Neurospora crassa OR74A: one gene and its partners. The protein of the gene in region 1 interacts with the protein of each later gene in a pairwise test. Links are inferred from orthologs where the notes say so. Each region holds a gene or a part of one and is shown on either strand. Other genes may lie near its edges. The genes, in order: NCU08668, NCU04439 and NCU06418.

Region 1 (3,400 bases):
GCTTTGACCCGAGTTGAAAACTGCGCCGTCGACAATCTCTTCGGCAGCCCAGGCAATATCGACATCACCGCGAACATATGCAGGATCCTTGCCACCCAGCTCGAGGCCGACGTTGACGATGCGATCGGACGCGGCCTTCTGGACGGCCAGGCCACCAGCAACCGAGCCGGTAAAGCAAATGTTGGCAATCTTGGGGTTTCGCACAATTGTTTCAATCACTGTCGGCGAACCCGAGTGGAAGTACTGGATGACTCCGTCGGGCAACCCAGCCTCGGAAAACACCTTGGCCACCTGCTCGACAATTGTGGGTGTCTGAGGCGAGGGCTTGAGAATGACCGAATTTCCAGACAATAAAGCGGGAATCAAGGCGTTGACGAGAATAAGATAGGGGTACTGCGCAAAGTTAGAGGTGACGGATGGAGTGTCAAAACAACATGATGGACACCACTTACGTTCCAAGCAAAGATGATGAGAACAGGACCAACAGGCACCTTTCGGATGAACCTCTTGAATCCCTTCTCCTCCTCGCCATCGGTGTCCTTCAGAGCATCGTTGCTGATCTTGAGCAGATACTCTGAGCGCTTGATGGCAGTGGCAACCTCCTTGGCAGTATAAGCAATGGGGCGGCCCATCTGGACGGTGAGTTCCTCTGCAAGTTCATCCTGCTTCTCGGCCAGCAACTTCAAGGCCTTCTTGACGATGATCTGTCTGTCCTCCAACTTGGTAGTGCGCCATCCTTGGAAGGCCTTGAAGGCAGTCTCGGGCAGTTGGACGAGTTCCTCCTCTGAAATGCCATTGCGAGTGATGATGGGTTCCCCCGTGGTGGGAGAGATGGTGGTGATCACCTCGACCGACATTGTTACAAGTAGGCTTATCGGCCAGGTATCGAGTGATAAGGATGGTGAAGTGGGATGCAGTGTTGGTTGTCACAAGGAGGAAGAGCGAGTCAAAGGGAAAGAAAAGACACAGTTCAGTTACTCTAGTACTTAGTACTATAATTCGTTATACCTTCCACAAGAAGAAAAGAGCAAACCGACTTGATTCCCATGACCCAATGACACCATGTCGCCCCTCCCGTCGCCGTCTCACTAACAAACAGGAACACGACATCACACTGCCGCACACAGAGTGGCTCCCGCTCCGTTTCTCGGCGGCAGGCCGGGGGAGCTTTGATAAGATAAAGAGTTGTTGGCAGCGCGGGGTCGGGTCTGCAGTGTATGAACTCCACCTCGGAAGGAACCTAAGGCGGGGACGGGATCAGCCAACCTGAACTTCCATTCCCATTCATACTTTGTTATCTCTTATCGGCCCTGCGTGCACGGTCCCTTCCTGCCTGTGGCCCCCAGTGGAGCCAGAAATTTTGAGAAACAGCAGCAGCCATGTCCGTCCAGCGCTTCCACGCCAAAAGAAGACTTGCGAATCGCGTCGTGATCCTTCTCCAACGCAAACAAACACCCGACTGCCCTAAATCTCCCCATAACGACCCAATCATTCAACCTACGAAACTTTCAGCATACAACAAAAAGTCCACCAATTAGAAACACAAGTCAATCATCCATCGACAATGCCGGAGGACGATGTCAGAAACAAGTTCCTCGATGCTGGCGATAGCGACGACGATGCGGGCCACGGTTCTGACTCGGAGGATGATTTCCAAAAGGGTGGCCGTAACGCCAAGCGCAGAAGAGTGAGCGATGACGAGGACAGCGAAGCCGACGACTTTACCGACGCAGAGGAGGAACACGACCAAGATGATGCTGAAAGCAAGGATGCACCTGCAAAGGACGGCCAGGAAACAACAGATGGAAAGGAAAAGAAGGATGGAAAGAAGGAGAAGGAGAAGAAGTCGGTACTAGCGAGTGACCTTCCGGGCATGACGAAGCCTCTCACAAAGAAGAATCTCATCGTCACGGAGGAGGCCATCAAGAAGTCGGGAGTGGTGTACATCTCCAGGGTACCACCTTTCATGACTCCTGCCAAGTTGCGCTCCCTGCTGGAGCCGTACGGAAAGTTGAATCGCATTTTCCTGGCCCCCGAGGACCCAGTTGCGCGACGCAAGCGCATTCGCAGCGGAGGCAATAAAAAGAAGATGTTTACAGAAGGCTGGATTGAGTTTGTCAAGAAGAAGGGTAGGTCTTCATTCCGTGAGACTCGCTGAGACCCAAGTACAAAGACGCTAACAAGAAAACCCGTTTGTTTGCAGACGCCAAAAAGGCATGCGAACTCCTCAATGCCCGTCCAATCGGAGGCAAGAAGGGATCCTACTACCGCGACGATATCTGGAACTTGCTCTACCTCAAGGGTTTCAAGTGGCACAACCTGACCGAACAAATCGCTGCTGAGAACGCCGAGCGATCCAGCAGAATGCGCGCCGAAATCTCCAAGACAACCAAAGAAAACAAGGAGTTCGTCCGCAACGTGGAGAGGGCCAAGGTGCTGCAGGGCATTCAGGCAAAGAAGGCGTCCAAGGGCAGCAAAGCGGGCGGTGAGGGTGCCGCCCAAGTCACAGAATCTACTATTCCCTCGGCGGCGGCAACGACGACGACGACAACAAACGACGATAAGAGGAGAACATTCAAGCAAATACCCTTGGCCAAGAAGAGGAAGCTCGATGAGACACAGCCCGAGCAAGTACAAAGAGTGCTCAGCAAGATCTTTTAACCTTCTCGTTTGGCCCCCGAACAATAGGTTTGAGACACGGAGCGTTCATGTACCTGTGGGATTTCTGTCGTCAAAGCGACTCCGAGACATTAGAGATGGGTGGTGTTGATTTTCTTTCCCTTAGGCAATTGTATATATTTTTCTGCCTTCAGTCATCTTGATACCCAACCTGATTTCCTTTTGCTATGAGAGCATCTCCATTTCCGTCACTTTGTCATATCCCTACTTATCGACGCTGCACAGAAACCGGCCGGCGTTTGGTTTAATTGGCCCACCATGAGCACATTCCAAATCCCAGCCACGAGGAAGAGTGCCCCTGACGATACGGTCAACACTCGATACAACTTCACCAATTGTCCTGTCGCAAATGCTGTCAAAAGGGGATCATATTTAACGACTCACCCGACTTACGCCCTTCGCATACTTCAAGGACTCATCCAGCGTATGCTTGACGTAGATGAGGAAGGTTGCGAACATTTCTCAAAACGTCGCCTGGACACCATACTCCAATATACGTCCTGGTCAAACTATATCATCGGGCATATCCGCCAAGACCGCTCTTGTCGTTATTTGAGTGAAGATCAGATGCACAAGTTCTTCCATGCATGTATTCAAACGGTCGAGGATGGCTGTACCCTGTGGGAACATATATACCTTTTGAAACCTAGTTGCTGTGCTGGGCGTGGCTCGTCTCAGGATGAGAGCCTGGAAATGACCACATCTTCACCCAGGTGGTTTT
Region 2 (4,248 bases), about 810 kb from region 1:
TCAAGAAGGAGATTCCTCGGGCGCAACTTGAAGCAGCCGCTAAGGACGGCATCATGCGCAACTACCACGACTACGTTGAAACTCAAGTCAATCATTTCGGCCTGGGCAATGAAGCTGGTATCGTCTTGTCGGAATCATCCCCCGTATACCGACTTGAGTCGCAAGCACTGCCAGGCAACAAGCACCTCAGCAAACTGCTCGGCAAGCCGAAGCCCATTTCGAGCAAGGATAAGGTCACCCTGGAAGCAGAATACATGCTGGCGCTCTCTGCCTGGAACGACGTTGGCCAGTGCTGGTGCGCTGGCATCTCAGCCAGCAGGGGGGCCGAGCTCGCCGTGGAGATGGCCAAACATGTCATTCCCCAAGCCATCGTCGTTGAGCACGTCCATCCGAACGCGACGAATGACCCTGGGTCCATGCCCAAAGACATTGAGATTTGGGGATACTATCCGGACGCGGACGACAACAAGCGACTCCTGGCTTGGATGGACGAGTTGTACCCTGGCGAGCGCGAAGCTGACATGAAGATGGTCGACGCAAACAACAAAAAATCGCTGTCCCTCATCAACAGAAAATACGTCAAGATCGGCGAGCTGGAGTACGACTATGCCAAGACCAGCGGTAGCCACGGCATGTTTGTCCACAAGCTGTCGGAGGAGTTGCTCGATCTGGATGCGGCGACGTACAAGGTGGTCGTCAGAGCCAAGACGAACCATGGAGCCCTGGATCATACATGCATTTACCGCCTGAAACTGTTTGGGGAGGAATTAGAGTACGAGGGCGAGGAATAACAGGATTGATAATGGGTATCTGGGCGACGGATCTTGAGCTACCGAATACGTATTGAAGGGAAAAGCAAGGAAATTGGGAATGGGGCAAGGCGTTTTGGTCCTTTTTTTTTTTTTTATCGCTTTCAACTTTGGGAAACGTACATATGGGTGGGTCTAGTGGGTTGGTTTTATTGCGGGTGTCTACCTACGAAGGAATCATGTGAGCGAGCGATACCCGTCTTCAAGCTCATTTTTTTCGTGGTTCAATACATTATGCTTTCATGATAGTTTGGCTCTTTTCATTGCTCAGGCACGGTGTTGATGTTCGAATGTTGCTGTTCTAAGTGAAACATGTAGATTGCTGAAGTTGTGGGCGCTGAGATAAAACCACTACAATTCGAATTTGGTTCGATGCAAAAGCTACTGTGAATTTTCTACTTCAGCCCCGTACAACTGCCCATCCAACCCATCATGAACCATAGCAACGACTTGAGAATGTCACTGGGGGCTGACAACTCGATGGTCGTCTGTCTGCTCGTATGACCCTAACCCTGGTCTGAGCTGGCCGCGAGTCCGAGACCCCTGCTGCAGATCCCCTCGCTTACAGTGGATGAGGTGGGTCGAGCTGGCAGAATTGCTCTCCGCCAAAAGTTTTCCCATTCGCATCGAACTGAAAGGCCACCAGCGACGACCCGCAGGCAATTGGATTCGCTCGACTAGCAGACCCGACCTTTGGAACTTCGTCGAACCCACCACGCCCAATTTCCAGCACGTTCAGACGATACAAACACAATGGCTCCAGGAGGCCCCAAAGGCCGCGGTGGCAAGGGCAAAGCCGAGAAGGAGAGGTCCAAAGCCAACAAGGCCGAACACAAGACGTTGAAGAGGAAAAGAGAGTTGGAGAACCTCGAGGCGCTTCAGAAGAGAATCGACGAACTTGTAAGTCCTAGTACTGAACCCCCGTTTCTCACCATACAACCGCACACGCTTCTAAATATTGTGTCTCAATCTACTAGGACCCCAAATCCACCGAACTCAACAAGTTCTCGGACCTTCCCCTTTGCGAACCTACCGCCTCTGGACTACGCGCATCCCATTTCGAGGTCCTAACCGATGTCCAACGCGCCGCCATCCCTCTCGCGCTCAAAGGGCAAGATATCCTCGGCGCTGCTAGGACAGGTAGCGGCAAGACCCTCGCCTTCCTTGTTCCCGTCCTCGAGAAGCTATACCGTGCACGATGGACTGAGTACGACGGTCTCGGTGCCCTCATTATCAGCCCGACCCGTGAATTGGCCGTCCAAATATTTGAAGTTCTCAGGAAGATTGGTCGCAACCACAGCTTTTCGGCAGGCTTGGTCATTGGTGGAAAGAGCTTGAAGGAGGAGGCGGAGCGTCTTGGGCGCATGAATATCCTCGTCTGCACACCTGGCCGTATGCTGCAGCATCTCGACCAAACGGCCGGCTTCGATGTCGACAACCTCCAGATGCTCGTGCTTGATGAGGCCGACCGCATCATGGACATGGGTTTCCAACAGGCCGTTGACGCTCTTGTTGAGCATCTTCCCAAGAGCAGGCAGACCCTGCTGTTTAGCGCCACACAAAGCAAGCGTGTCTCGGACCTTGCCCGGTTGAGCTTGAAGGACCCCGAATACGTCTCTGTTCACGAAGCCGCAGCATCGGCGACCCCCGTCGGCCTCCAACAGCATTACATCGTCACACCTCTCCCTGAGAAGCTCGACACGCTATGGGGCTTCCTACGAACGAACCTCAAGAGCAAGATTATTGTGTTTATGTCCTCCGGCAAGCAGGTCAGATTCGTCTACGAAAGTTTTAAGCGGATGCAGCCCGGTATTCCACTACTACATTTGCATGGTCGCCAAAAACAAATAGCACGTCTCGAGATCACGAACCGGTTCACGTCCGCGAAATACTCCTGCCTCTTCGCCACCGATGTCGTGGCCAGAGGTGTCGATTTCCCCGCCGTTGACTGGGTCATCCAGGTCGATTGCCCTGAAGATGCCGACACCTACATCCATCGCGTCGGCAGAACGGCGCGTTACGAGAGCAAGGGCCGCGCCGTCTTGTTCCTCGACCCCAGCGAAGAAGAGGGTTTCCTTAAGCGTCTCGAGCACAAGAAGGTGACCGTCCAGAAAGTGAACGTCAAAGAAAACAAGAAGAAGAGCATCAAGAACGAACTACAGTCACAGTGTTTCCAGTCACCCGATCTCAAATACCTCGGACAGAAGGCTTTCGTCTCGTACGTCCGTTCGATTTACCTGCAAAAGGATAAGGAGGTGTTCAAGTTCGACAAACTCGACCTCGACGGTTTTGCTTCCAGCCTGGGTCTCCCAGGTACTCCACAGATCAGATACCAGAAGGGCGAGGACGTCAAGAAGCTCAAGAATGCCTCGCGCGCCGCCATGTCCAGCGGGTCCGACACCGAAGGCTCGGACGGCGAGATCCGCAAGAAGAAGAAGGAGGTCAGGACAAAGTACGACAAGATGGCCGAGCGTCAAAACCAGGACGTCTTGTCGACGCATTACCGCAAGCTTCTCGGAGAAGATCAGGCAGAAGACAACGAGGAAGACGACTTCCTCTCGGTCAAGCGCGTGCTGGACGACGATGCCGCCCTCGACGACGCCGCCGGCAATGCCAAGTCCGGCACCAACCCCGACGGCACGGCCAAGGTGGTCAAGCTGGGCAAGAACGCCGAGTTGGTCATCGACTCGCACCGTCGCGAGAAGCTGCTCAAGTCCAAGAAGAAGCTGCTCAAGTACATGGAGAAGGGCCAGAAGCTTGTGTTTGACGACGAAGGAAACGCCCACCCGCTCTACCAGCTGCAAGACGAGGAGGACTTCCAGAAGGAGGGCGACGCCAAGGAGCTCAGGCAGAAGTTCGTCGAGAGCGAAGCCACCAAGGTCAAGGAGCAGGATGTCGAAGACAAGCTGCTGGCCAAGCAGCGGAGGAAGGAGAAGAGGGAGCGCGCCAAGGCAAGGGAGAGGGGAGAGGAGGTCGAGAGGGAGAAGGGTCCCCTGCAGCCGGCGCTGCTGGACGCGCACAGCGATGTGGAGGAGGATCCTTTGGCTTTGCTCAGAAGTTTGCCTGTTGCTGGCAAGGGCGGTGACAGCGGTGACGAGAGCGAGGACGATAGGGAACCGCCTAAGAAGAAGGCTAAGAAGTGGTTCCAGAAGGATGACTCGGATACGGAGTATAGCGATGACGGCAGGCCGAGGAGGAAGAAGGCTAAGATGGAGGGCGGCAGGAAGGTCATTGAGATGGATCATGAGCCGGATAACTTGCAGGATTTGGAGGCTTTGGCCGCTGGCTTGTTGGAGGATTGATGAGTTGGTTTTCAATGTTGGTGTTGGTGTGGGAAAAGGAGAGATATCGGGGTTCGTCATCCAATCATGGATGTTTACATACGTATTTTGCGATAGTTTTAGACTTGTTATGATACCTAAACCACGTATTTTGACAA
Region 3 (4,203 bases), on another chromosome or scaffold:
ATTCCACCAGTCTCGCCTTGTCGTTCTAACCACAATACACCACCAGGGGGGACATCGGCATCGTCAACGGGTTCTGCAAACTCTGTTCTCTCAGTGTGCTTGGCCAAAGAGGCACAGAAAGGATTGTCTACGTCGTTGAGAGACACTGTGCCTCGCAGTTCACTGTGAGTGAGCGGCGTTTCAGAAGAGACAGCCTGGAGAATCTACAGCATGATCAGCTCAGGCCTTCAAGGTTAACTTCACCATCTTGGGGAGCCAACCAGGTGGATGAAACATGCTTGCTTTGATCAACACAATTGTTTACACTTGAAGCAGGTGATAAGTTATAGATGACAATGAAGGACCTCAGCATATGCGAATCGAGATGAATATGAGGTATATCATCAAGCCATACGAAGCATGATCATGCCATGTAAACAAAACACTTTTACCTCCTTTCATTGCTCGATATTATCATGTTGATACCTTGTTCTGGCCTATTTGCCTGCTTATTCGATGGGGGCATTTGGGGACCAAATCGGTAGGCCACTGTGCCAGTAAAGTACCACAACGTCAACATGGCCCATCATGTTCATCGAAATGCCCGAGTTGGGTAAGGGCCGATAGCCCATGCATCGCCGGGGCAAGCTCGCGTGTGCCCTACCGCGGGTTCCACTCCAGACTTGGCCCGTTTAGCGGCGGCCATGAGGATCCGTAGTCTTGGGATCATCGTCAACGACTGTCCTTCTGTGGCACTAAATCATAACACAAGAAGGGGGCCCGTTGAAGGACATGATCTCATCTGTCGTAGTTCGTCCGAGCATCAAGACAACGAACGAGCTGCATCCTTGAGGTGCTGTCTTTCAGCCGACCGAACAAGCTGCTTTCCCTTCTGTTATCGATACTTATACTCCTTGTGTAGACCTTGTTCGGAAACCGTGCAGTCAGCATAACACCACCAGAAGCTGGACATTGCAGTGCTTTTCCGACATGAACCTTGATCCTAGACTGCTCATGCTTCTTGGCTCATTCCCAAACAAGAAGAAGCTCTCCTATTTTTTGCATTCTTCCAAGCGCCCAGAAGTCGCACTATGGAGATCAAACCAACGGTTTCTTCGTATTCCATGAGATGGAATGTGGAAACGAACAACCCCGTCCAAAACTTAAGCGCCGATGGGTTTGGTGGCTGACGCTTGTTATGCGACGTTGGCGGTTCGCCGGCGCTTCGGCTTGCGTTTCAAGGTACACTGGTGGGTCTTGCTGTGATGCTACCCTAGGGGCAGGCCCAGGCTTGCTTGCTTGCGGTCCGTGTGCGGACGTCGGGTCTTGGCGATCTGTACATATTAAAAGTTCGTGAATGGAAGGACGATGGGTATATAAGTGAGAATGAAACTCTAAGGATATGGGCACTTTATCACGATACACAGCGGTTCATACCCTCATGGTATCGTTCTGCGAAAGACATGTACATAAGGAGATGGAGGACGGCTTGGTGAGGCTCTAGACCGTTGAAGTGTTTCTGAAGCACCGAGGCACCCCCATAAAGTCCAAAATGCCACGCTTACGTAATGACGCTCAATGTGACATTTTTACAAGCACGCTTTCCCTTTTCGGTCACTCCCGAGAACCTTGCTGAACCAAAAATTTTGAATTTTGTAGCGGTCGCAAGTCGTTATCAGTTTATCGACTGATAATCAACACCACAGGAACACACATCGAATCTGCTAGAGGCGCCCATCACGGTCCTGGAACGAATGCGAAGAGACATCTCGCACCAAACATAAACATCCGTCTAGACCTTTTGATTCCAACTCCCGCAAATAAGGAGCAAACCAACAATGCCGTCTGCCACAGCCGCAAAGGCCAAAAAGGCCAATGCCAATGCCAACCTCAAATCCAAGGTTAACAAGGCGCCCGCCGTCACTGAGATTGATGAACAATCTGGTCACTCTGAGGATGAGTCCGACTTTGGGTCTGAACTAGATGTGGAGGATGAGTCGGCTGCCTCAGATGAAGAGGACGAGGATGAGGACGAGGATGAACACGATTTAGAGGAGGGCGTCTCAGACGAAGGGGAGGGCGTCTCAGACGAAGAGGAGGGCGTCTCAGATGAAGATGAGGACGAGGAGAACCAGAGCGCCGGATCAGGCTCAGACTCAGATTCCGATTCGCTAGACAGTGACGCCCCCAGAAAACGACGCCGTACCTCACCTACCATCGACGACATCGTTACTCAACTTGAAGACGAGGAAGAGGATGACACGCCTGTCGCCCCCGTCAAGCCTGTCTTCAATAACGTCCCATCCCGCATCAAGAAAAAGCAAGCTGAGGCGCCCAAGACAGAAAAGACCGAAGAGGCAACACCAGCCCTACCAGTACCAGAGCCTGCCAGCACAGTTTCTGTTCCTATCGACGCCAACACCACCTTTGACGCACTCAATGTCCGCCCATGGCTGGTCCAGTCTCTCGCCAACATGGCCATCAAGCGGCCAACCGGCATTCAAAAGGGTTGTATACCCGAGATTCTCAAGGGCAGGGACTGTATTGGTGGCAGTAGGACAGGTTCGGGTAAGACGGTAGCATTTGCCGTTCCCATTCTCCAGCAATGGGCTGCCAACCCATCCGCCATCTTTGGTGTCATCCTCACGCCCACCCGGTAAGTCCACTCCGAGTACCCCTTAACCCCCACAAACAATCAAACAATAGGTAGAGGCTAACCACTTCCACAGCGAACTCGCCCTCCAAATCATGGAGCAAGTCATCGCCCTCTCTCAGCCCCACGTCCTCAAAGCCGTCCTCATCACCGGCGGCGCCGACATGCGCAAACAAGCCATTGACCTCGCCAAGCGTCCTCACCTCGTCATTGCCACCCCCGGCCGTCTCGCCGACCACATCCGCACCTCTGGCGAGGACACCATCTGCGGTCTTCGCCGCGTCAAGTTCATTGTGCTCGACGAAGCCGACCGCTTGCTCGCCAACAGTGGCCACGGCTCCATGCTCCCCGACGTCGAAGAATGCTTCTCCGTCCTCCCTCCTCCTTCCGAGCGCCAAACGCTTCTCTTCACCGCCACCATGACGCCCGAAGTCAAGGCCCTTTCCGAGCGCCCGCCCATTCCCGGCCGCGCCCCCGTCTTTGTGTGCGAAGTCGACACCCAGCGGCTCGCCATCCCCGCCACCCTGCGCCAGATGCACCTCCAGGTGCCGGTCACCCACCGCGAGCACTACCTGCACATGTTCCTGCTGACCCCGCAAAACGTGGACAAGAGCGTCATCATCTTCTGCAACCGCACCAGCACGGCCGACTTTTTGCACCACTTGTTGCGCTTGCTCGACCACCGCGTTACCTCTCTGCACTCCAAGTTGCCGCAGAGCCAGAGAATCGACAACCTCGGTCGGTTCCGCGCCTCGGCTGCGCGCATTCTGGTGGCGACCGACGTGGCGGCCAGAGGTCTCGATATCCCCGAGGTGAAGATTGTGATCAACTACGACATCCCCCGCGATCCGGACGATTATATTCATCGTGTTGGTCGTACGGCGCGTGCGGGCCGCAAGGGTGATGCGGTGACGTTTGTGGGGCAGAGGGATGTCGATCTGGTGCTGGCGATCGAGCAGAGAGTTGGACGGCAGATGGAGGCATGGACGGAGGAGGGCGTCAACTTGGAGACGAGAGTGATCAGGGATGCGCTGAAGGTGGTGGGCGAGAAGAAGAGGGAGGCCTTGTTGGAGATTGAGGAGCAGAAGGAGGTGGGCGGAAAGAGGAAGAGGGGGAAGGAGAAGTTGAGGGCCATGTAAGCTGTCCTGTTGATGATAAGAATAGGGAGGAGAGGGGGAGCCGAAGTGGAGGAGGTAATGAAGGGAAAGGGGGTAGTGAATGATCTGATACCAAAAATATGTGTTGGGGTAGGGTGATAGATAAAATATTGAATAAGGGATTGAAAGAGATAAAAGCGATGCCAAGCTATTTTTCATATCTTGTGCCCATGGGGACTATGGCCCGGCTTCTACAAATTATGTCTTCGGTGAGTTTGACTCCTCAAAAGGATGAGCCACGGCCATCATTGATCCTTGTTTTCAGGTTGGAACAAATGCGAGGACATCCGGAGGATGATTCACCGAGCGGAGGTATGCATTTTGAAAGAGATTGCTTCATATCGCACTCCATTTCCTCACACATCATTGATTTCAAAGGCCAGCCCTCCGTCGTGTATATACATCTCATAATAC

The links.
Region 2: the proteins of NCU08668 (region 1) and NCU04439 interact in binary tests that used the Saccharomyces cerevisiae proteins (3 or more experiments, as listed by UniProt). The link is inferred for Neurospora crassa OR74A from reciprocal best matches to the Saccharomyces cerevisiae genes ESF2 and HCA4.
Region 3: the proteins of NCU08668 (region 1) and NCU06418 interact in binary tests that used the Saccharomyces cerevisiae proteins (3 or more experiments, as listed by UniProt). The link is inferred for Neurospora crassa OR74A from reciprocal best matches to the Saccharomyces cerevisiae genes ESF2 and DBP8.

Annotation. Positions count from the first base shown.
Region 1 is NC_026504.1:4,159,923-4,163,322, forward strand, and holds NCU08668 (pre-rRNA-processing protein esf-2), read left to right. Parts: upstream 1-1,390; 5' UTR 1,391-1,564; coding exon 1,565-2,129; intron 2,130-2,203; coding exon 2,204-2,661; 3' UTR 2,662-2,846; downstream 2,847-3,400. Other genes in the region: NCU08669 (betaine aldehyde dehydrogenase 2), read right to left, coding at 1-393, 453-857. UniProt on the Saccharomyces cerevisiae protein: Involved in the small subunit (SSU) processome assembly and function, and in the 18S rRNA synthesis. Required for the early cleavages at sites A0, A1 and A2. Stimulates DBP8 RNA helicase ATPase activity.
Region 2 is NC_026504.1:3,354,561-3,358,808, forward strand, and holds NCU04439 (ATP-dependent RNA helicase dbp-4), read left to right. Parts: upstream 1-1,441; 5' UTR 1,442-1,562; coding exon 1,563-1,709; intron 1,710-1,786; coding exon 1,787-4,111; 3' UTR 4,112-4,246; downstream 4,247-4,248. Other genes in the region: NCU04440 (hypothetical protein), read left to right, coding at 1-791. UniProt on the Saccharomyces cerevisiae protein: ATP-dependent RNA helicase required for ribosome biogenesis. Involved in the release of U14 snoRNA in pre-ribosomal complexes. Required for pre-rRNA cleavage at site A2.
Region 3 is NC_026503.1:1,328,363-1,332,565, reverse strand, and holds NCU06418 (ATP-dependent RNA helicase dbp-8), read left to right. Parts: upstream 1-1,383; 5' UTR 1,384-1,817; coding exon 1,818-2,635; intron 2,636-2,708; coding exon 2,709-3,771; 3' UTR 3,772-3,948; downstream 3,949-4,203. UniProt on the Saccharomyces cerevisiae protein: ATP-binding RNA helicase involved in 40S ribosomal subunit biogenesis and is required for the normal formation of 18S rRNAs through pre-rRNA processing at A0, A1 and A2 sites. Required for vegetative growth.